Arabidopsis thaliana: one gene and its partners. The protein of the gene in region 1 interacts with the protein of each later gene in a pairwise test. Each region holds a gene or a part of one and is shown on either strand. Other genes may lie near its edges. The genes, in order: RK3, PUB29 and PUB9.

What was found.
Region 2: the proteins of RK3 (region 1) and PUB29 interact in a two-hybrid assay, tested with the Arabidopsis thaliana proteins (one study listed by BioGRID).
Region 3: the proteins of RK3 (region 1) and PUB9 interact in a two-hybrid assay, tested with the Arabidopsis thaliana proteins (one study listed by BioGRID).

The regions. Positions count from the first base shown.
Region 1 is NC_003075.7:11,386,326-11,396,330, forward strand, and holds RK3 (receptor kinase 3), read right to left. Parts: upstream 6,902-10,005; 5' UTR 6,766-6,901; coding exon 5,469-6,765; intron 4,588-5,468; coding exon 4,453-4,587; intron 4,364-4,452; coding exon 4,170-4,363; intron 4,092-4,169; coding exon 3,881-4,091; coding exon of another isoform or gene 3,876-3,880; exon of another isoform or gene 3,790-3,875; coding exon 3,552-3,789; intron 3,456-3,551; coding exon 3,305-3,455; intron 3,221-3,304; coding exon 2,894-3,220; 3' UTR 2,502-2,893; downstream 1-2,501. Other genes in the region: B120 (S-locus lectin protein kinase family protein), read right to left, coding at 8,133-8,450, 8,569-8,716, 8,816-9,053, 9,135-9,345, 9,430-9,665, 9,751-10,005. UniProt on the Arabidopsis thaliana protein: Involved in the regulation of cellular expansion and differentiation.
Region 2 is NC_003074.8:6,432,509-6,440,287, reverse strand, and holds PUB29 (plant U-box 29), read left to right. Parts: upstream 1-4,241; 5' UTR 4,242-4,806; coding exon 4,807-6,054; 3' UTR 6,055-6,206; downstream 6,207-7,779. Other genes in the region: AT3G18700 (uncharacterized protein), read left to right, coding at 7,383-7,523, 7,610-7,663. UniProt on the Arabidopsis thaliana protein: Functions as an E3 ubiquitin ligase.
Region 3 is NC_003074.8:2,351,117-2,358,946, reverse strand, and holds PUB9 (plant U-box 9), read right to left. Parts: upstream 4,308-7,830; 5' UTR 4,064-4,307; coding exon 3,773-4,063; exon of another isoform or gene 3,426-3,772; coding exon 2,334-3,425; 3' UTR 2,082-2,333; downstream 1-2,081. Other genes in the region: CHIP (carboxyl terminus of HSC70-interacting protein), read left to right, coding at 51-204, 290-400, 496-624. UniProt on the Arabidopsis thaliana protein: Functions as an E3 ubiquitin ligase. May be involved in the abscisic acid-mediated signaling pathway, at least during germination.

The DNA of each region.
Region 1 (10,005 bases):
CGGTATTTATTGTCAATCTTGAGTAGGAGTTGTGGTCGGTAACTCGGAAAGTGTAAGCGACCTCCTCTCTATTCTCCGTGAAGTTGTAGATAATATCGTCCCATTGTTGCATCTCCAGAATGCCGCTAAACCGGAGTCCATCCCAAGGGCCGCTCCGGTACACTTCCAAAAAGCTGGTAAAACCAAAAAACTCAGGTAATCCTAGAGTTTCGAGTTTGAACATGAAACTCCCGCTTGACGGATCAAATGAGCTTTTCCAGGATGTGACGAATCTGTTAAGCCCTCTTTTGTGATCCCGACCCAATTTCATCTGCGGTAATAAAGTATCTGTCGGGAAATCGAAACTCTGCCACAAAAACTCATCTGATTCATTGATTTTGGAGCCCCTTAGAACAAAATTGCCATTGTCAAGAAGCTCTGCCACCACAGAAGATCTCACCGCACCAGTCAGATTCGTTGACCAAACATGCGTATCAGAATTATCGAGGATGACAAGGTTAGCATTGGAGATTTTGAGGATTCCAATAGGATTAGAGAGAGGAGTGTCTCTATTGGCAACCCATACATAGGTTCTCTGAGAGATTTTCTTGTACCAAATCCCAAGGTACCAACTATCCCCAAGGATTCTGAAGAAACCAAGCTCGAAGACACCACCAGGAGACACAATGGTTTTGTTGCTTGAGATTGTCAGGGATTCTGTAGCTGACAAAGTATTGACAGAGATAGAGAGATCAGGGAACAGAATTAAGAAGAAGAAAAGGAAAACGAAGAAGGTGTAAGAATGGTGTTTGTTTGGTAATTCACCTCTCATCTCTCGATCTCTCTCCACCACTCTCATATGTTGTTCATTTTCCTTTTGCTTTCTTTATTTATACGATTTTTCACATATTTATTTCAGGTTTATCTAACCCATGAATCTTATTTATATTTTACCCACACGACAAAGAGTAGTGTTATTCCACGTTCCATGACTTTTTATCGCTTCAATTAAAATTACTTCAACCAACTTTTTTCATGGTCAACAATTTACCAGAAAATCTACGTGTGAAATTAATTTCCATGCAACATAGCACATGCAGTTCACCAAGTATATATTCATCCATTATCCTTGTCCCACGAAAGCCCACATCACACGGTATCGTTCTCGCATGCAAGTGCATCCTTCGATACATTGAAAATGTTAGCCTTCTAGATTATGGCCATATGTGTAATTAGAAGATTTGTGTGACTTTGTTCGGCCATTTTCTATATTAAAAAAAAAATAGCAAAATTTAGTCGTTGTTTCGAGGAAAAAAAAAAAAAATAGGGTGCCAAATTCAGTTTAACTTAACTGAACTTAAACAAAATAGCACTAAATTTAACCAGCCTTGTAATTCATATTATTTACGAAATTTTTATGTAAACAATTAATGGTACTAAAAACCAAACTGATGGAAAATTTCTCAAAAAAAAAAACAATAATAAATAAACAAACTGAATTTGTCAAATCCTGAATTTATCAAAAATAAAATAATAATAAATAAACAAATTGAATTTGTCAAATTCTGAACCTACTTACTCACAAGATGTCCTTCTTTGTCTAGTCTATATATTGACACCACACAAGTGAAAAGGAAGAAAATAAATAGTTTCTCCAAGATAAAATATAAAAAATTCTGTCAACGAAAAAATACTTTGTCAAATAAGATAAACTAAAGAGAATTTTTTTTTTTCCGCTGAGATTGATTAATAAAATTAAGTGTTCGGAAAAAAAGATAAACTAAACAGTAACTAAACTAAAGACAGCCGAAATGGAACAAAAAAAAATCATGCAATACGCAAACAAGAAACAAGATTAACTTAAAATATATAAATCATGATTCACAAGAATCGATCAAGATAGACATGGACTTAGGAACTTATCATAAAGATTAGGGAAACAAAGCATAAATAAGAAGTAAGGACAACCATTAAGAGATCACGAATATATAACACTAATCATCTCTCAAGAACCCGACCAAAAAAAATCATCTCTCAAGAAATTAATTATCTATGCTAAATATTCTAAATTTCTAAACTCTCATTTAAAATTTAAATTAGCAAGCATTCATGTCAATATTAATGTGCTCATAAATCACAATTCTGTATATCAACTATCATTATTAAAGGACGAGCTACTCATCAAAGGTTAATTAAGGAATTTTGACAGAACACTTTTGATGCATAAAAATCCTTATGATCTAAAACAATTTTAATCAAGCCTCTCCAAACATTGAAATTGCGAACACTTTTGATGCACAAAAATCCTTATGATCTAAAACAATTTTAATCAAGCCTCTACAAACATTGAAATCACCTTGAAATGAAGGAAAATTTGAAATCACCTTAAAATGAAGGAACCATGAAGGATTTACTCTGTCATCAGTTAAAAACAAAAAATCCACTATACCCCCATGATCTTCCTAAAGCCCATAAATTAAATCCACCGGATTTTGGCCATGGTTAGCGATGGAAATAGGTGTTGCTGATCATAAAAAATTCTTATAACGTATGTACTTATTAAAAAAAAAATCTATTACAACATGTACAAACCTAATCTCAAAACGTACAACCCGAAATTCTACTAACCAACAATATTTGCCTCTTCTAGTAGCCATAATTTATAATATGAAAGTCTGAGAATCTTTCAAAATATCACATTGATGTCCTATAACTGCAGGACTATTTGGGTTATCCATAAAGCAATTACAGAATACATGCTTAATTAAGACAATTGAATCATGTAGTAACCTTTGCAACGGAGACGTACAGAGAAAATACTATGCACATAACTAATACCATCTTTCCTAGTTGATTCTTATTGTCGCTCAATTTAGTCATCTTAGTATAGAAGATTGGCTAGTTGACAGTCACATTACCGAGCATCAAGGACCGAGACAGTAATTTGGTTCACTGTCCATGATTCATCGTCGCGCTGTTTACTCGACGAAGAATCAGTGTCAAGAAGACTTCTCTCCAGGCAATAACCGGGCGCTTTAGGTTGAGGAATAGTTGTTGATTCGCTTCCGAGCATCAAAATTACCAAGGACATAGTTGGTCTGTCCTCTGCACGTTCTTGAACACACAAGAGGCCAATTTGTATGCATCTTAAGATTTCATGTTGCCTGAATGTTGATGAAGAATCTGTGATGATTGGATCTATGATCTCTAGCCCTTTTCCTTCTTTCCAATTCCTCCACACCTGTGTATAATGATCGAAATTTTTCTAGTGTTATCATTATTTTGAGTGTAAAACAAGATCAAGTTTGAGAGGTTTTTAACTTACACAACCGAGAAGGTTAAGGTCACGGTCCGAATTGTAGAATCCTTTGTTCCTCTTGCTACTTATAATCTCAAGAAGCAAGACCCCAAAACTGAAAACATCTGACTTCATCGAGAATATCCCGTCCATTGCATATTCAGGAGACATATAACCGCTGAATAACGAAGATTAGACTCAAAGTTTTGAGTTATTTTTTTTTAATTCAGATTTCAAACAAAGATTTTTAATATTTTGGAGAATGATTGCTTACTAGGTTCCAACCACCTTCCTCGTATTAGCTTCTGTCTCATCCCGTCCAAAGATCCTAGCCATTCCGAAATCCGAGATCTTTGGAGTCATATATTTATCAAGCAAGATGTTACTTGCTTTCAAGTCTCTATGGATAATTCTAAACCGTGAATCTTGGTGAAGATATAGAAGTCCTCGAGCAATACCATTGATGATATCAAATCTCATTTGCCAATTTAGCTTAGAGTTTCGGGATTTGTCTGCTAATGAATCATCACTGGATTGAGTACATTATTTTTAAAGACATTGAAAAATTGTTAGAACAGAGTTGTAAGGAGTTGAGACACTAACCAAATAGATGAGAGTCGAGGCTTAGATTTTCCAAGTACTCGTAAATCAACATCTTCTCACCCGCATCGACGCAACATGCAAGAAGCCTAACAAGGTTTATGTGCTGAAGCCTTGCAATCAACTTTACCTCATTCTTGAACTCATCAGTCCCCTGAACTGATGTCTTTGATAGTCTCTTCACTGCCATTTCTTGACCATCAAGTAACTTTCCCTGTAACCCTTAATTTTGTTACACAACGAAATATTTGTCCAGCGATAGATTATGAATTAAGTTTTCAATCATTTTTACCTTATAAACTATACCAAAACCACCTTGTCCTAGCTTGTTGGCGTTAGAAAAATTGTTTGTGGCCATGGCAACTTCTTCAAACTCCATCAATGGCAATTCGAGATCGTCTGTATTGTTTTCTCTAGATATGTGTCTCCTACTTGATATTACAACTTCGTTCATTAGCAAATCTCGGCTTCTCAGTTGATGATCAACTGTTACATACAGACACCAAAAACAGTAAAGATATTAGTTTTAAGAAATTTACAAACAAAAAGAAAGGAATTAAAATTTACAGATATACCAATAGGTGTTTCGATTAGTATTGATCGCTTCTGCTTCCTTTTCCACAAGAAGAAGATAATGAAACTTAAAAGAAGCAAAACGCTCACTCCAATACTCGAACCTATGATTTTTGCACTTCTGTTTCTTTTGTCCTCTGAAATAATGAAAAGAGATGTCAAATTGAGCACAACATTTAGGACCTCGACCATGGAAATGAATATCATTTTATAAAACAAACTAGTATTAGTCTTATGATTTAACAAAATAATAAACATTGTCGTACTTTTGATTAAAGATAAACGCCAACAAACAAAAAACAGCGTTATACTGTTATCGCCAATAAAAACAAAACATAAAGATTGGTCTACCTAAAAATAATTTCTTTTGGCTTTGGATCTACCTTACCATATTATTCTTGAGATTGATAAGTTTTTGTGAAGAATATAGTAGTAATCAAAAGTTTCACTCATGCGTTGCATCTTTTAAGAAGATTAAAAGTCCATTGGACCTTAGTTCTTTATCACAAGAGTTTTCACATATAATGCCAAGACCGAATGCGTCAACATCTCAATCAAGTTTAAGAAGTTTGAAAAGAGGGAAAATAAAACTGAAAAACGTTTTGTTAAATTCCAAATTCGTTAACCAACAACAATATAACATTGACTTGCACTATTCAACACCATTCTCACATTCTACCCCAAAAAAAAAGTGCTTTATCTAACAACCAAGTTAATTACTATTCTTGAAACCCTTAAAAAACGTTTCTTCCTTTTGTCGTTTAAGAAAATCTTTAGTATAATGTGATAGGATTACTCAATAACTTGATTGGGCAGTTTTAGCATCAATTTTTAGTCTTACTGACAAAATCTTTTATGATGTCTTTTTAGTTTCTAGTATGTATAAAACTGTTTACATGTTTTGAAAAGTGATCTTGAAGACTATTATCAACCGTTACTTAGCAAAAGTAAATATGTGGAAAATGAAAACCAAACATATGTCATTTAGTCTAATAGAGATAGTGGAGAATGAACTAACCGAGATCAGTAGCAGCCAATCTAACGTAAAGATCTTGACCACCTTTGGCATAATTCCTGATATCAAAAAGCTCTCCGGTCCAAGTCACACAACCCGACCCGCTACCCCGGATATCCGTATTCGCAAACGCCGTGCAATTACAATCTCTTAAACACTTCTGTTCACATTCTTTCACACCAATTCCTCTGTCCACACTAGCCGTGGTAGTATCCGGCAATTTCATTTTCTTCAACCGCACAAACCCATCTCCGCCACCACAGCTCAGTAGCGTCTTCCTCACGCAACCATCCGACCCGTCTCTCAATCCCCACACTTGAGGATTCCTCGGCTTAAACCCTTTAATACAATTACAAACAGGTGAAGTGTTCGAGTCGCAATAACCGTAAACACCACACTCTTTGTACTCATCACATTGGTCTTTTGGTGCGTACCAGAATTGGTTCCAATTCTGTGCTGTCTCAATCCAAGTGAATCTTTGTAACAATCCTGAGGAGCTTATGCTTAATCTCGAGTAAACGTCGCTTTTAGTGATTCTAAATGAGTAAGTCACTTCTTCTTTACTCGTAGTGAAATTGAAAACCATGTATTCAAATGGTTGCATCTCCGGTACACCACTAAACCGGATTCCATTCCATGGACCACTCCGGTACATTCGTGATTCTCTGTTCCATAGAAAAATCTCAGGGAAGCCTTCGGTTTCGAGTTTGAACGAGAAATCTCCACTTGATGGATCATCTGGAGATTTCCATGATCTAATGAATCTGTTGAACCCGGTTTTGGCATCCCAGCCAAGTTTCATCTCCGGAAGTAAAGTATCTGTCGGAAAATCAAAACTCTGCCACAAAACTCCATCTGGAGCGCTGTTCTTGGAGTCTCTGAGCACAAAATTACCATTATCAAGAAGCTCTGCCACCAATGGAGATCTCACATCTCCTCCGGTCAGATTCGTCGACCAAACCGGTGTATCGGACTGATCCAAAACGACAAGATTACTGTCGGAGATTTTGAGAGTTCCGATGGAACTAGAGAGAGGAGTGTCTCTGTTTGCAACCCATACGTAGGTTCTCTTAGAGATTGCCTTGTACCAAATTCCAAGATACCAACGAGAATCTAAACCGGGTTTGAAGAAACCAAGCTCGAAGACATTACCAGGAGACACAATGGTGTTATTGCTTGAGATAGTTAGAGATTCTGAAGCCGACAAAGTGTTGGCAGAGATAGAGTAAGCAGGGAACAGAATTAAGAGGAAGAAGAAGAAGAAGGTGTAAGAATGGTAGAAATTTGGTAAACCTCTCATTTCTCTAAACCAAGTTTTTTGTTTTTCACTCTTTCTTGAGAAAAGTATGAGAGTTTATTTCCATTGGAGATATCGGACATGTTTTGTGTAATGTGTGAACCTTACGTAACCGATTTTATTTCTGTCAATAATATATTACCTTGCTTTTTTTCTTTTCTTGGTCTTCTTGTTCGCATTTGGAAAAAATATCTAGTTATGTACTATGTGTACAGTCCAATTCATAGTTGACCTAGCAAATAAAAAGTCTTCTTCTTCTTTTTTTTTGTCAGGCTTTCTTTCCTTTTCCAATAGTCATTTTTACTTCATAAATTCAGAATTTTTCTTCAAAATATGATATTATTGATGACCATTTTTTTTAATAAATTACTTAATATATTGCTTTTTCGTATTTTATTATCAGTCAACCTTTTGTATGCATGCTTCGAGAGTTATATAAATTTCAGTGTTCTTTTTCGTAATAAATAACTCAATTTTTTTTTTATCCTTCCCAATAAGAACTTCAATGTTAGTATTCATCAAACAAACCCTACTTTAATTTATTTCCGCATTCTCCGAAGACAAAAAAGAAAGGGGTCGTTTCACGTTTTCCTGACTTTTTCTTTTTTTCTCTAACTCTAAATAATTCATCATTCCATTCAATTTAATAATGAGTCTACATTTGAATTATTCATCACCAAATATAATGTTGTCCTATGCATTTTGTTTGACGATTTTTGGCTTTGGAGCTTGGAGGAGAGGAAAATTTATGTTAACACGGTTTTAGGTATATTATATAAGTATGAAATACGAAGACCGAATACTCTTTTCACCATCAAAACAGTACTAATTACCATAGTCAACGCTCCAAAAGTCTTATTTTTGAACATCCTCATAATTCTTCGTTCCTCGTTTGATTTATATATAATAACTCTATACATAAAAATCAATCACATTTTAATTAAATTAAACACAATAATCCTACAATATTTGAAACAACTCACCTATATTTAATAGAATGAAAAACAATTATTATGATCCTCATTTCAAAACTAACCTAAATATTTTAAGACTACCACCTTTGTTATAGTATAAACGATTTATTTGAAGATTTATTTCAGATAAATGCTTTTTGATATTTTATCTGTTTTCATTTGTTTATACTTGTAAATTGATCCATTGTGATATTTTTGAAAAAGAATAGTGTGGTGATTTTTTCAAAATATCAACATCATACTGTAATAAAACCCCATTTGTAATGTTTCACTTTATGAACAAAATTTCAAGTTTCAACAACCATTACTCCATTATCCTAATTAACCAAAAAATATTATACGTTTTCACAACAATTATATAAAAAAAAACTTTACAAAAGAACAAACAAAAGAATCTTATCGTCCAAGAACAACCGTTGAAGTGATCTCATTAGAAGAAACGATGTATTGTTGGCTCGAATCAAGAGCAAAGTTGACATCAATGGAGTTTCTTCTGGTGGAAGTAAACGTTGGTTGTCTAGGCGCAGCGAGCGTCGCTGTGTCACTCTCTAACATAAGCAAAACTGAAGCCATGTTGGGTCTCTCCGCAGCCGAATCTTGAACACATAGCATCGCTACGTGTATGCATCTCAAGGCCTCTCGCTTACTGCATGTGACCCTGATCTTAGGATCCACAAGCTCCTCTGATCTCCCATGAGTATACAAATACCAAGCCTGCAAGCATTCAGTTTCCACCACTAATTAGACCATTTATAAACCAAACCAAACCAAAATTTCAAATGCTCATTAAGAGAGAACAACAGTTTTTACTCTTAGTTTTTGGGAAACTTACATAACCAATGAGACTTCCATGTTCAGAAGATCGAAGACTTGTGTTCCTCTTCCCACTTACAATCTCTAGCAACAAGACACCGAAGCTGTAAACATCGGATTTCACCGAGAAAAGTCCTTCCATCGCGTATTCAGGAGACATGTATCCGCTACAATATACAAATATCAAATGTAAAGTAAGTTGCTAAGAACATGATTCATTGAAATAAAACATTTGCTCTGTTTTTTGGAATTCAGTTTTTACTTACTAAGTTCCAACAACGCGAACCGTGTTAGCTTCATTTTGGTTACCACCAAAGATCCTTGCCATACCAAAATCTGAGATCTTTGGATTCATCTCTGCATCTAACAACACATTGCTAACCTTCAAGTCTCTATGAATGATTCTCAATCTTGAATCTCTATGAAGATAAAGCAATCCTCTCGCAATCCCTTCAATTATCGAAAACCGCAGTTTCCAGTCTATCAACGCTTGTTTCGTTTCATCTGTACATTCAAAAGAGCAAAACTAAGAAGAATGAAAGGAAGTGCTTATTCTTTCTTGGATCTTTAAAAAAGGAAACATACCAAAGAGGAAGAAATCCAAGCTCTTGTTAGGCATATACTCATAAACAAGCATTTTCTCTTCTCCCTCGAAGCAACATCCAAGTAATCTCACAAGATTCCGATGTTGAAGCTTCGCTATGAGAATAATCTCATTCTTGAATTCATCAACTCCTTGTCCTGATTTACCAGACAATCTCTTCACAGCTATCTCACGTCCATCTTCGAGAACACCCTGATAAATATCACAATCATCAACAAAAAAATCACAAAAATTAAACACAAAGACTCTTGTCTATAACCAAAGTAATCAACCAACCTTGTAGACTGGTCCGAATCCACCTCTTCCAAGCTCATTTTCTTTGCAGAAATCATTAGTAGCTATGGCTATAGCATTCAGAGAAAAGACAGGTAACTCGGATGTGTTAACAGCTTTCCCTTCAATCATTATGTCTACTGATCCTGAAAACGCTGAAGTAGTTTCTTTGCTCTTGGTCAGATCAGCAACAACAACCGATGTATCGGTGTTCTTACCACAATATGCTCCTGAAACATCTGCATATAATAAAGAGAAGTAAATCAACAAGATCTTATGATGCAGTAACCAAACTAAGAAATCAAGAAAGAACGTAGTTAGTACCTTTCTTTCTCTTGAATCTCCATAGAAGCAGAGCAAAGATTCCTATCAAGATCACACCAACAAGAACCGCGACAATCACTGCAATCTTTGTTTTCCTGTTCTCCCCTACTTCGGAATCAGCAAGACGGATATGAAGCGAAGAACCACCAGCTTCAAACTGTTGTAAATCCACTAAATCTTGGTTCCAAATCATGCATCCAATACCACCAACAAGAGAATAAGCATTGCAAGAACAATTCCTCAGACACCTCTCTC
Region 2 (7,779 bases), on another chromosome or scaffold:
ATTTAGAATGTATAACAAATGTGGATGTAATGCATTGAAACTTGAAAGAGGGAATGGTTGAGAGAAATGATTATTTAGAATAGCAAAAATGGATGGTCAATGAAGAAGACCTTTGGGTCCCCAATTCCCCAAAGTTCAGGTTAAGAAGATGAAAAGTGGAAACAATTTCCTTTGTCCTTTGATATTATATTCTCAGTATTGATTTCTTGTCTTTCGATTTTGTTATTAATTAGTTAATGTTTTCTCAGATGGTTAGTGTCACTTGTAGAGACTGATGAGCCAACCATTTGTCCAAGTGCTGCGTAATATCTTTCTTTTTGTTAAAGAATTCTCCACTAATTAATTACTTGATTAAAAAAGTTTGCGGTTCCTGTATGTGACTTTCTAAAACGCTGAGTTTAATATGCCCTTCTATTCTATAGATAAAGCTAGCATGTTATATACAAATACGACATCCATGTGCATAATCAATGTCTAAATAACAACTTTCATTAGTTCAATTCATAGTATATAAAAAAAGTTTATCAGCCTCAACACATGAGTTTAACCAATCATGCACTATCGAATATAGCTTACATACATGATTCTAATAAAGTAGAGACTGATTATCCGATTTCAAATTCACCGGTACTTTAAACTTTCTAGAAATTTGCAAATTCCGGCCACTAACAGTTAAGCTATCATGTTTACGGAAAAGATGGAAATTAAAAGCATAATTGCACTGCTTTGACAAGGAAAAAACATAATTGCCATTGCTTTTTTAATCATCAAATTCAAGCCCATTCAAATGGGCTTATGCAGTCCCCATTATGGTTACTCATATGACTTTACGAAAAGTTTTTCCATTTTTTTGACGGCACTTTACTAAAAGTTTTTTTTCTTCAGATAATATCCAAATTGTTAGTAGTCTAGTCGTTAATGTCTCGTAAATTTTTGTGATTCAAGTAACACGAAATCCCGCATGTCACCGATCGATTAAGATGTTTTGTTTCAACAAGCACAATTTAACTCTATATGTGGGTTAACATAAATGCATATTGATGATACCTTTATAGCTGTATAGTTCTCAATAATTAATCTAATAATTTGATTTTTTTAATCACACCACAAATAAAATAAAGTCATACTATTCTAGTTTTGTAGCTCAACCGATATACTAACTAGCTATAAAATTCGGAAAAAAATATCAAATTCCAGCACCAATGACGAGTCATAGATAAGAGATATAACTTTTTTGGTCTTTAACCTGAAAATTTATGAATGAATCTAGGTCAGCAATTTCCTTTAACCAAAAATTTCCAACTTAGATAGACCACAAAGTGTAAGATAATAAATTTGGTCACATGATCAACCAACAATGTTCCAAACTTTTTAAAACTATATATTCAGTACGTTACATGTATATAACGACACGTTTACTCAAAAACATGTATAGCCCACACGAGCAGATACCCCCTCGTACATGCGAAACCTTGTTTCTTTCTTGTCAACAATTCTTTCAAATATACTAAAGAACTCTTGTTTGATCATGTATACGTAATATGTGTGATCAAAATCATCCCGTATATTAAGGAACAAAAGGATGACCTTTATTACATGATACAAACAAAAGTAGATTGTTGTGAAATTATATGTAAATCGCACGCGAATGAATTATATCATTGTTTTCCTATGTTACTTTGTGGTTCCTCATTTTACTCTCATCATCTTCCTTAATTACCCGTAGCGTGTGAAAAATCTTCATCATTAGTATGTTATTATCAATAGCATTTTAAATTTTATGTGTAGATTAGGTTATAATCAATATTCGAAAAGAAAAACATTAGATGCTATATGGATCTGTTCGGAGGCCGCGCGTCTAACCTCTACACTAATTACGTTTGGAGGTAGTTCTAGTCATTCTTTGACAAAAGCTAGTTCTGGTAATTGTGTATTTTCTAAGAAAATAGTACTATATACTAATGTATTGAATATGTATCAGTTGGCCCGCCTCAATAAAAGGATTTCATTTTCGCGGTTACCAATTTTTTGTTGATTTAATCAGAATCATAACGTTTAGATGTTTCTTACCATATAAATTACCCGTTTTATATCACCCAAATTTAATAATGTGTTGAAGTTAACATATACTACACAACAAAATCAACTGTACCAAATCTGAATCGAAGAAAAAAAAGCTGGTTAAATCTGATAAATTCCTTACAAATATTCTAGAAAATTCCTCATAAATAACTCGCTAAGAATTGAATGATGTCGACTTCGAATGGGAACATGACACTGGATATGTTTTTTTTCATGTGATGCAAACGAGTTGCCTCTGCCAATGGCAACCTCTGAATAATAATACAACCCCACACTTTTGGAACTGGATTCTTCTTCATATCTCTATCTTCACCCTATATTTAGTTTAAATTATTTACACCCCAAATGTATGGAGAATTAACATTGAATATGCCTCATACAGATTTATCTTTGCCATTTAACAACCAGACTAACGTTTTTAATCTTCACTGAATGTGTTTTTCTTCTTTTCGATAAAAGCTTATCACTGAGTATATTATCTCATTCTATTTTTAGTTTAAATCTCGCGGTAAACAAATATAGTCATCGACCATGACACCATGTGAATTAACTATTAACTAATTACATGAAACAAAATAAGTTTTAAAGTTGCAGTTTCTATGAGATTGATATGTATTATCAATGACAAAATAGGACGTACGTAAAATCTTCTTTTTCGTTAGTATATTTCTTTTGTTTATTAGAATTACATGTTCCCTCGATTAGAAATACATTAGTTGCAAAAAAAGAGAATATTAAAGCTCCCAAAACTATCCTTAGTTCCTTGCATATGAGGACAAATGAAAATTATTGTCCACCAACAACCATAATGGATGGATCAGATGATGAGTGAGGTAAAATTATTAAAAGGTGAGATAATTGGCGTAGATGTTTTTCCGATTTGGCATAATTGCTAATTGTAGACAATGATGCACGTTGGCATCATTATAGTTTTATTTCCTTTCGGTGCAATTTACCCTATTATCAATTATATGCTCACGAGTTAATATATACATACTCTGATACTCAATTCATTTACCTGCCATAAGAATGATTATAAACAACAAATACAACGAGAAGAAATTTTTTTTTGATTACCATTCATTTCACTTAAATACACGTACGTGCTATATCGGCAAGTGCTAGCTAGATCGATGTCTATTAAAAGGTTGATACGATTTTACACTCTTTTTAACGGCTATTAGTTATGATCTTACCCGTTTAATAATGCTAAACCTAATTGAAAGTTGACCTAATAATAAGAAACTTAATTATTGTCCCAACATATTCAAAATAAATGATTCACGAGTCAGCAAAGCATTTCATCCTACTCCTACCTCTCACCTCTGAAAATTGAAATATTTTCAACACTTAAGTTTGATTTTACTATTAGGCCAACAACTTTCGGTCATCACCTTATGCTTTTCATCTACGGTTCAAAAAATTCAAATTTATTTTTATTTTCTTCTATTCAAAGTAAGAAACTATACGTCTATACGTACTATTAATGGATCGAAGGAGATACGATTAACCTTTTTTCTGAAAAAGAGCAACAAACTAATTGTACGTGAAAAAAGTAAAACTAATCATCTAAACTTATGTATTATTAAATGCAAAGCACCACCTTGTTTTAGCATCTAAACATATGTATTATATATATTAAAAATGGCACAACCGTGAGCAACTAAAGCAATGATTAATAAATAAATCAAGACCAATCTCAAATCCATTGAACTTGAATTATAATTAATACAACCCCCTAATTTGTTATGAGCCAGTTATACATCTTCTTCATTAGACAATAAGACAGTCCAACCATAATACATATATACATTATACTTTTCAGACAGCTAAAATGTTATGTATCTTCGAATACTTTAATAATTGTATATACGTTATTGCTCATCACAAAAAAAAGTCTAATTTATCTAACAAACATTATACTCAACAGAAGATGACAATCCGAAAAAGAAAAAAAACGCTTTTACTTTTCCCCCGAATCAAACACCTTCGCTCGAATAATAAAATTATCAAACACTCTTTCTCCTTAGTGGAAGCCACAACACAATTTATTTATCAACAACATTAGACATAAACTATCCAAAACATAAATGTCATCAAAATATTATTCGGCCATGGACCAATATCATCTTTGTATATCTGTACCACATTTGCTGACTCAGAGTTTGTTTTAAGTAACACAAATATTATAACATTGCTTTTGTAATCATTTGTTTTTAAATTTCATTCATAAAAAAAGTACTAAAAACAGGACATTATATGGACCAAACCCATGTGCTCTCGACGAGACCAAAATAGGCCACTCGTGCAGAGAACATGTCCCACCACTCCCACACGCTTCTGGCCTCCAAACTCACACGTGTAAGCAAGCATAAATAAAAGATCGTCACCGTTGGTCAAAGTCCTCCCATCAACAACACATCTTAACGGTTACGACTTGACCCAATCCCCTGACTCTGAAACGTTCTTTGATTTTTGACCCATGACCAGAATTTTTGTTGATTCTTTAAAATTTCTGACTTGTCATCAACATTAACATCTTTAATACACTACTACTATAGTATATAGTATAATCTTGCTACGGTGACGCAAGCGTGCGTTTGACTCTCTCTTAAAATCCCACCTCCACTCACTTTCTCTCTTCACCTTTCACTTAGCATCATCTTCACTTTCCCGCATTTTCTCTGCCCAGATTTTCTCTGATTCTTTTGTTGTTTTTTTCTGATGGGGAGAGATGAAACAGAGACGTACATTACAGTGCCAAGTTTCTTCAAATGTCCGATATCTCTTGACGTGATGAGATCTCCGGTTAGTCTCTGTACCGGCGTGACTTATGATCGAGCCAGTATCCAGAGATGGCTCGATGGTGGTAACAACACTTGTCCCGCTACTATGCAACTTCTCAAAACTAAAGATTTTGTTCCTAACCTCACTCTTCAACGTCTTATCAATATCTGGTCTGATTCAATCGGCCGTCGTCACAACGGTGATTCTCCGGTTCTGAATCCGCCGTCTGGTAGAGAAGTTCCGACGAAGGAAGAAGTGAATGTGTTGTTGGAGAGATTGATGAGTCTGGAGAATTTGATGAAGATCGTTCGATTCGTGAAGGATTCGGATTCGAACAGAGAGTTTCTCTCGAAGAAGATGGAGTTCGTACCAATGCTCGTTGATATTATACGCACGAAGAAGACGAAGATCGAGTTAGTTATAATGGCGATTAGGATTTTGGATTCGATTAAAGTAGATCGTGAACGGTTATCGAATCTGATGTTGGCGAATGACGGCGGAGATTGTTTAACGGCGATTCTCTTAGCGATTCAACGCGGGAATCTGGAATCGAAGATCGAATCGGTTCGGGTTTTGGATTGGATCTCCTTCGACGCTAAATCAAAGCTTATGATAGCAGAACGTGACGGAGTTTTAACAGAGATGATGAAATCGATAAGTATCACTGAGTCGTCAGATCCGAGTTTGATCGAAGCGAGTTTATCGTTTCTAATCACAATCTCCAAATCAAAACGAGTGAGATCGAAACTAATCGCTGCAAAAGCAATCACGAAGATCAAAGACATTCTTCTGACGGAGACGTTAACAAACGTTGCCGTGACGGAGAAGTCGTTGAAGCTGTTAGAGACTTTATCGTCAAAGCGAGAAGGGAGATTGGAGATTTGTGGAGACGACAATGGTAGATGTGTGGAAGGAGTGGTGAAGAAGCTCTTGAAAGTATCGACGACGGCGACGGAACACGCCGTGACGATTTTGTGGTGTTTGTGTTATGTTTTCAGGGAAGATAAGACGGTGGAAGAGACGGTGGAGAGAAGTAACGGAGTTACGAAGCTGTTAGTGGTGATACAGAGCAATTGTTCGGCGATGGTTAGACAAATGGCGAAAGATTTGATTAAAGTGTTGAAGTTTAATTCCTCTGCTTTGGCTGCTTACGAGACCAAGACTACTCATATTATGCCTTTTTGATTTTTTAGTAGTACATTATGAATAAATATGATATAAGTAAATCTTATTATCAAACTATTTTGAACGTATAGATGTTGTAAATCTTATGAGAAATTTTGTCAGTTTTACTAATATTTGCCTCGTGTTAATTGAGAATTATACGATTTAATTACTCATAGCAACAATTTGATACATTAATAGTTTACACGATTTAGAGCCAAATATATCATTTTCTTTCAAATTTGTAGCTTGTGTCACACAATTATACAACTTGTGTGTGTTCAAAAACATTATTTTGAAACAGTAAAGAAGGTTTAAAGATGGATATGCACTTAAAATATTCGCAATTTGAATCATTCGGCATAATTTCAAACATTTAGTTTATAAAAATATTTGAATAAAACAAAATCAATAGTTAAAAGAATGATTTTGTAAGTTTAGATGGTGGGGAAAGGCATCGAGTGACTATTATCTGATTAATTTGATTAAGGCTATAAATTAAAACTCTCTAGTGTGACTAGATAGATACTTTTGGTTCAAAAGAATTCAAATGACAGCTTCGTAAGTGTGTACTAGATTAAGTTAAAGTATGGTTCACTGAATCTGACTAAAAGTTTTATTACTATGAGTTAAATGGATGGTTATGCAATTTTGCTTATTACTGAACCAAAATATAGGAATAAGGTTCTTCCCTTTGGATTGAAGTGACAAACGAAAACTGGTCTCTAATGTCTAAATTATCTTGTAAACTAGTACCTTTTAACAAATTTACTTTTCTTTCTTGTTAGAGGACGTTGCAACATTTCATGGTCATGCCTCTCTCACACCCACCCGCTTTTTTATATTCTATCCTTTGTTCGAATTTTGATTTGAATGGTACTTGTTTCAACATTTGATTTGCAACGGAAAATATTATCTTTTTGAATAGTAGGAATCTATACACGTAAGTTTTCAGATTGAATGAATTTTTTATATATTATATACGATATAATAAATATAAACTGATTGAGGAACAATAAAGATTGTTTTAGTAAAACAATTAAAATTATCTGAGTTGATATTATAGAAGGTTTCAGAATCCATAATCTTTTGTCTTATTTAACTTTATAACTTAATTAAAAAAAAAATGAAATTTATTTTGGAGGATAATTTAATAGAGTATCAAAAACATATGGATATTAATATCATCTACAACTTATTTTAATTTTTAATATATCCATATGTTTTTGATACCCTATTAAATTATCCTCCAAAATAAATTTCATTTTTTTTATTTTAATATCTCTGCCAGTTATGTTACTTCTTTTACAAGAACATCACATTTGGTGTCACCATTTTTTTCTACGACAATGCCTACTTCCTACACATCCTTCTCTGCTCAACCCACAAATAACAACTGGTTTTTGTTGTTCAACATCTTCTTCTCTTCCCTTCTTGTTATTGCTCTCCGATTTTTCGATCAAGATGTCTCAGATCGCTACAGTTACAAGGTATCCAAAGTTACCACATAAACTCTATACAACAACCCTAAATTCCTCTGAATTGCGAGTAAAGTTCTATGTTTTTTTGTTTGCAGTTCATGTTTCTATACCAAGGAGTTCAAAATCTCCTCTGTATCTTGAAGAGAATCGTCCGATAGATGTTTAATGAAGTCTTTACCGCGCTCGCCATTTTTTATCTCTGCAAGGAATCTCTAAAACACCTGCTTTATAACTTGAATGTCAAATCCACATGCCGAGGAGAAAT
Region 3 (7,830 bases), on another chromosome or scaffold:
CTTGGAACTGTGCTTTTGTGGCTTTATGGAACTATTCATGTTTGTGTTAGGGAAACTTGTGAGGCTGCTCTTAATCAACAACGTGCTTTAGATATGTCTCGAACAGAAGAGTCCTCAGACGAAGCATATACTGCCCATACTGAGCGTTTGAAAGCTCTTGAACGAGTGTTTAAGAAAGCTGCAGAAGAAGATAAACCAACTGAGGTGCATTAAATTTTCTTTAAAAGCTTTTAAGACCCATCGTTCATTTATATTTGAGGTCAAATACATTTCTGGTTTTTCTTTTCAGGTGCCAGATTATTTATGTTGCAATATAACTCTTGAGATTTTCCGAGATCCTGTAATTTCTCCAAGTGGGGTTACATATGAAAGAGCAGCAATCCTTGAACATCTCAAGAAGGTTTGCATTATCATCGCTCTTTTCTTGTAGCCTTAATCTCTATAAAAAATATTCCTCATTCCTGTTAAGGTTTGATCGTTTACACCACTTGATAGGTGGGGAAGTTTGATCCTATAACTCGTGAAAAAATCGACCCGGCTAATCTCGTTCCAAATCTGGCTATCAAAGAGGCAGTGGCAGCATATCTAGAAAAACACGTCTGGGCTTACAAGATGGGTTGTTGATCGAAATGGGGATTAACATAAACACAATGAAGCGGATGAGAAATTGAGGTTAACTACTCAGGTGACCGAACAAAACAGATGGGTGCGTTTACCTTTTTTCACATTTGTGTTTGTTGTTGCCGATGTTTTCAGTGTAAGATTCTCTGCCCTGTGTATATATTACAATGTTTTTTTGTGCACTCTGTACACATTGGCCATATGGCTTAGCCTATATAACACACATACAGAATTTATTTACTATTGAGGAAAGCCCAATAACATACATACAGATATTGTTTATCATTGAGAAAAGCCCAATAACAGACAGATTTAGATGCAGTTCTCTGACGTCAACAAGATTGATGAATTGTATCTCATTAGGATGTAGTCCAAGGCATGCTTAAGTATTTTTTGAAACCTTCTTGGACCACTCCGGTTCTGTGCCATGAAAAAAATCTGGATTGTGTGATTAATCATCTAAAATAAAACTGAAAGCCTGAAAATTCAATATAAAAACAAAAAGTTGTCATGCAATAGTGTAGAAAAACAATGATTTAGTTGAATGTTCATCAAAGTTGAAAGAAAGCAAAAGACATGGGCCATCATAAGGTATTCAAAGTATTGAATGAATTCTGCCTAATAAGGCGTAAATCTTGGGGTCTTTTAAATAGAAATAAAACTACTATTTTCTTTATCTATATGATTTCCACTGGGGACACATAAAAGGTAAACCCACCATTGTGGTTGTGGATTATTACGATTCTTTTTCTTCCTTTATGGGATTTATTTCTTTTTTTGTATCCAATGAATTGTAAACGTTACTTCTTGGGGATAAAAAGTTAAAAAGAAAGCATCAAATTCTTTCTTTTCTTGGCTTTTCTGTGAAAGTTTGGTGAGGAATAACACCAAAGAGTGGTTTAGGACGAATCCATATTCTATCCTCTCTATTAAATATTCCATTTTTTCAACTTTCTCACGATATGTTGACCTGTAATTATTACGAATCACGAGTTTTAGCAATTTCGTGATTCAATTCTAACTTCCAAGCAATCCAACCAACCAAATACATGTGATTTTTATCATTACTTACATGCTTCTTGCCTTGTCTAGAACATTTTTTAGAAATATATTACAAAACTACTCCGTTATGTTTTCTAACAAAACTTATAATTCATCAGTGATAGTCGAAATTTATTTATAAGCTTTGATGAGTATTTATTTATATATAAATAAACTTAAAAGTACTGTTTTTTTCTAACACGACAATAGGAATCACATCGTCACGTTACATTACATAGAGAAAAAATCACATCAATGGAAAACTCGTGACTCTGTAATAAACTCTTTTTCCAGAGAGAGTGGAATTAGATTGATTTGCTTTGTGGTTTATCAGTGATGTGAGGAACACGACATGACAGCCTTTCTATGTATTTTTAATAATCTACTTATTTATACACAGAAACAGACGAAAAGCTACACACTGTTACTTGTTGACCAAGGCTTTCACAGCTGAATAAAGCCACCAACATTGATTTTATTGATTGATTTCTCCAGAAACATCAAACGCAAAAACTATTCACACAGATTTCTACTTACATCTCACATACGAAAACCAATAACCATTCAGATCCTAAAGATATGAATAATTTACAAAAATTCTTACAGCCAAATAAAGTAAAAAAAAGAAACAAGATTTTAGGTAATTTACATTGCAGATTTCAAGGCTTTTCTCAGGCTGTATGAGTGAGATTCATAGCTTTTCTCAGTCTGTCCAATATCCCGTTTGCTTTCCTCTGCGCCCTTGAAGTTCCTTCACGCGAAAGCTTTGTTATCGTTCCATGAGCATTCTCCTCTTCTTTGATCTCCTTCCACTTTGTCCTGTCGCTGAAACATATAGTATGCAGTATCACTATCGCATTCTCTTTGTTTCGCTTGCACTCGCTCTCTCGAGTTATCTTCAGCAACCATGAAACCCCACCGAGCTCACCCAATTCCTCCACAGCCTTCCAGTGAGTAACAAGCATTGCCAATATAGCTAAAAGCTCATCAACGTACAACCCATTCGAGATTTTCTTACCTAAAACCCTAACAGCTCCGTCTCTCACAGCTCTACTCCTGTTCTCATGGGCTATACAAAGAGTGAAGATCGCTGCAGCTACGTCTTTGATAGCTAATGGATTCCCTTCTTCTAGGAGATCGATAAGCGGTTTCAGGATTCCGGACTTCCCTATAAGTACTTTGTTTGAATCGAGAGCTGACAGAGTGAAGATCGCTGCAGCTGCATTGCTTCTCGTGGCGACTGTTCCACGCCTCAATGCATCGATAAGGAGAGGAATCACATTAGGATTTTCGCAGACGAGCTTCTTGTTGCTGTCATCATGTATTGATATGTTCAACAATGTTGTAACCACATCTTCTTGAAGCTTCTCATCTGGGTTTGACCCGTGTAACAAGGGATTCACCAACCTGGTGATCTCATCCGGAGATTCGCCAAAAAGAGCTCGGAACTCAGTGCCTTTCCTGGTCAGAAGTCTTAGCTCCTTGGCAGCTGATTTTTGATCTTGAAGGTTCGAAGAAGAGACTTTACAGAGCAAGGAATTGAAAATCTCACGATCTGATCTTGTCACAGTTTCATCTTCATTTACAAGGTTGGGATGATATTGGCTCTTCGTCTCAAGCCCGTTCTTCTTGCACCATTTCGAGATCATTTCACGGATTAAGAGATTAGGTGTTAAAGCCGTGTGAGGCAGAACTTGCTGAGTCTTGGGACATGTTCTGTTCCCTGAGCTCAACCATTTCTGGATAAATAACTTGTCGTATGTCTGCAAAATCACACACAAATATATAAATTTTTAGTTATATGCTTTCCAGATTTATTAAACAAGCTAAGGAACACATAATTATCCTCTAAAAATCACTTTTTTCATTTACATGATAAAATCTCCAGATTTCATCGTTTCGAAAATCATTACCGAAACTACCGACAAAACAAGAACTTTATGAAACCTGAGTCGGATTCTCTCAGTCGGGTCGAGAAAACAGATGAAAAAGTTTCAAGCCAATCAAAATTCCCCCAAAAATCCAAAATTTTCAGTCACCTAACACAGAAACAGCAAAATTCAAAACCCTAGAAGAAGAAGAATTGAATCGAAATGCGACGTTCACAAACCTGACCAGAAGCCAAAACGACGGGATCCCTCATAAGCTCATTAGAGAGAGGACAACGAAACTCCTCAGGACAAGACACAGTCTCGAGCATCTCTAACGAGGAAGATTTCGCCATCTTCCTCATCGTCGCTTCTCTCAACGCAGACAAAGCGTCCTGTAACTGATCAATCGTCTGAACACCCAAATCATCTTCGTCATCGATCTTAATCAGCAACTTCTTCATCTCACGCTTCAGTTCCTTGGCTTTAGCAATCGCCGTCGGATCCGAATCGAAAACACCGGTCTTCGCCATCGCCGTCGGTTCCACCCGCCGGTATTCACCAAACCCTTCTTCTCTCAGATGATACGTATGTCCAAATTTTTGAATTGATTTTCTCACATTAATTAATTTTATTTATTTATTTTCTGTGTGTTTGTGAAAGAGAGAGTAATAAATATGAGGAAGAGAGAAGAAGAGGCACAAGTGTTGTTGTTGTACTCTAGTGCTTCACTATAATAGAATTGTGGCCTGCACCGAATTTGCCACGTCATTATTTAGGAGTATTTACTAATTAATTCGACCAAAATTAAGAATTTAATAATGCAGCACGTATGACCTACCTCGCGACTAAGGTGTCAAAATACAGCCGACACGATTTGTCTCGTAGACTCATACACGTTTACTTATTTTTTTGGGTATAAATCCATACACGTTATTGGTAATTTAGCTAGTTATAACTTAATAGTAATTGATCGGCCTAATGGTTTTCATCTTTCCCTTGTGTTTGGTTTTGGGAGTTCGAAACCTCAATACATTGTTTTGTAACTAAGAGATTTTAAACGACGAAAGAGCTATTTGGAGAGTTTGTCAAGCCAAAACAAATATTCCCAAAAGTTTGTGAAAAAAACAGAAAATGTTTCAAAGGTTTACGAATTACGATGATCAAACTCAAATCTTTAAGACACCGAACCCATAACTATTATTTTATCCACTAAATTACTATTATTGGTTTATTGCGAGTATTCGAATTTGGTTCCTTACTTATGATGATTTTATTATTCAGTTATTAGACCATAACAGCTTTATATAATCGATCATTGTTTGATTCGTGTTTTTTTTTTGTCAATTGATCACTCCATTACCATCATTGTTTGAATTGTTGACCCAAAGAAACAGAGTAAGGAAATTTATAAAAGTAATCTCAATAACTCAAACGTCGTAGGAGGTTGTAATCAAAAAACAAAATCATCTCTAACGAAAAATGTAACATTAGTGTGGTAAACCAAAAAAAATTCCAAAGACGGTAACGGCGGCGAAAATTAGAAGATGTGCGAGAGGAGTGAGTGTAATGAAAGTGGGACCCGCACAGTTATTCCAACATGGGAACAGCTGTCTTTCCGCGTGGATTCTGTTGTACTCCTCTTCACTCTCTCTCTCTATTTCTTCTTTGACGTTTTTACCCCTGCCGTTTTTCACTCTTTCTTTTTCTTCTTTTTATTTTTGTTCTAAACGTTTTAAAAACAAAATTGTATTAAAAAAAAAAAAGCAACCAAGTGTTATTATAGCTTTCGACGCGTGATTGGATGAATTAAGAGAGTTGACCAAATCTATAACATTCAAAAAAACCAAAAAAATGTAACCGGAAGATTTTGTTTTATAATTAACTTCTTTATCAAGATTTGGTTTTCACCTTTTAGTAACATTCTGTAGACAATAATATTAAACAAGATGACACATCACTCCATGTCTGAAACAAATTTAAAAGGTGAAAACGACTTCTTCCACCAAAACATGAAATTTTGAAAATATGTTTTAATTCCAACAAATGTTTTAACTAAACCAAGTTATATATATTGGCCACGGAATTTGTCTTGGCACTTTGTCTACATTGTTAATTGTTAGAACTTCAAACTAAAATTATTAGTACATTTATTGAATTTGTTTAAATTTGTATGGATTTTTTTTATAAAAAAAAATACTATTGTACTTCGGTTTATTTAACCACCATCCATAAGAGTGGGTGATCGATGTTCATATACAACGATACAAAGTGTTGAGGTTAGAATAGTGTCAACTCAATTCTCAAATTTGAAGTTGTTAGTAGACCAACTATTATTGAGTGGCATTTTGAAATAGACACGTGTATGAATAATATCTATTATTTCTGAGAAGTGGGCACCACTCATCTGCAAACACAGAAGAGAATCTCACAAGTGCCAAGCTGGACTGCTGATAAAAAATCAGTTTACGTAGGACCACCCTCTAACCCACGTGTCCCTTTCTAATGCCCTCGTTATCTTCGAACTGTCGTTTTTTTTCTCTGCTTGCTAGACATCTCTGCTTTCTCAAATTATTATCTTTGTTTCTGTTTTTTTTTCCTTTAAGTTTTGATTGTGTGATAATAACACTCTTATCTTGAACATGTCATTTCCAAAAGTTTGAAAAAAACAAACTGAATCTTCTGAAAGAAAATATTTTTTTTTTTGGTACAAGGTTAAATTCAAGAGAAAATTGATGAATCTTTGTTATTTTCTTCACAATGCAGTGAGTTTGGTAATCTACAGATGAAATTACACAGAGAAAATTCATGAAATTATGAGTTGTTGGCATGTAAGGTGTGGTGTACGTTAACATTAAAAAGAAATGTCAAATTGTCAAAATATATTAACATAAAACATATATGTGGACACTAAACTGGACATATTATATATTTATGCTTGGGATATTTTTAGTGTTTTTTATAGCGAAATATCCTTGATGTTATATATGTATGTGTTTGAATTCTCAAACTTCTCCACTTCCTCTCGCCCTATTGTTTTGTCGGCGGAATGTTGATATTCTTTTCTTTTTTGAAAAAAACGTAATGTTGATATTCCAACATGCAGTTCAAAATGATGGAAGATTCAATTTGAAATAATGTTGAATGTACGTCGAAATTCATGGGTACAAGCTATTTTTTGGTGTATAGTGATTTTTCAGTCCATATATACATGAGAATCGAAAATATTTCTGATAAAAATTTCTGAATATGAAACAATAACCATTCTTGGTTCGTATCTTTCAGTTTTAGTTCATACATTAAAGACTTTTTCGATTAAAAAAAACATATATATAGAGTACAGAAGATCATTAATGGGGTTTGGACGTATTTGGAAGCCAATTAAAGTGTTGTAAGATAGAAGACAAGACCAATAATTGAAAGAAATAAAATAATTATCATATTAATGTTATCATGTTATGTGGAACATATATGAAAGAGGCCCATTTGACACGTATGTTTCTTTTGTCACACACAACCGATATGTTTTGTTTTACTAATTAGCAACCTTTATATGTTCTTAATCTTACTACTTAGTACGTTTATGATATTGTTCCAAATAAAACTAAAGTTTCTCATTTAATTAAACGTACACAAAAAACTTTATTTTATCATACTCCATATAGATGGTTGGATAAACTTTACTTTGGCTTGCTTGAAAATGTTGAGTGTATGCAACTTAGTTGACATTGAATATTCAATAGAATTTTATATATCATCTTAAATGTATAATCAAATGGTAACTCTGTAGCATAAGAACAATGTACTAGAGATAGAGAGTTCTCAATTTAACAAAACAAAGATGCGAATGTTTATGCTTCTATTCATTAGTGAGGATAAAGATTCTCCTCTCATGAATCCTTTTATGAATGAATTCAATAGGCCCATTGAAAACAAAAACGTGTAAAGCCTAATAAAACCAATAGATGTAAATCCAAAAGGTGAGATCCGTTGAGTATGGGGGACTTTGAACCCTTAAATAGGATAAAAACTTGACCATGAGGCCCAGTTTCTTGTCAAAGCAAGCCCTAGAGAATGGGGATCCCATACTTTGGTTATTGAAAGCCACATATCTACTTCAATGAAATGAAAGAAAAAAGCCTCAAGTCTGAACGATCAAATCTCATCCAGTCATCCTTCGTGTTATGCTTTCTATATCATCTTCACCTTGTACCTTACGTAATCAGCGTTGTGAAATAGGAAAACGTGGCTTTCAATTCATATATTTATACACACACAATTTCTCTAAATATGTAACTTA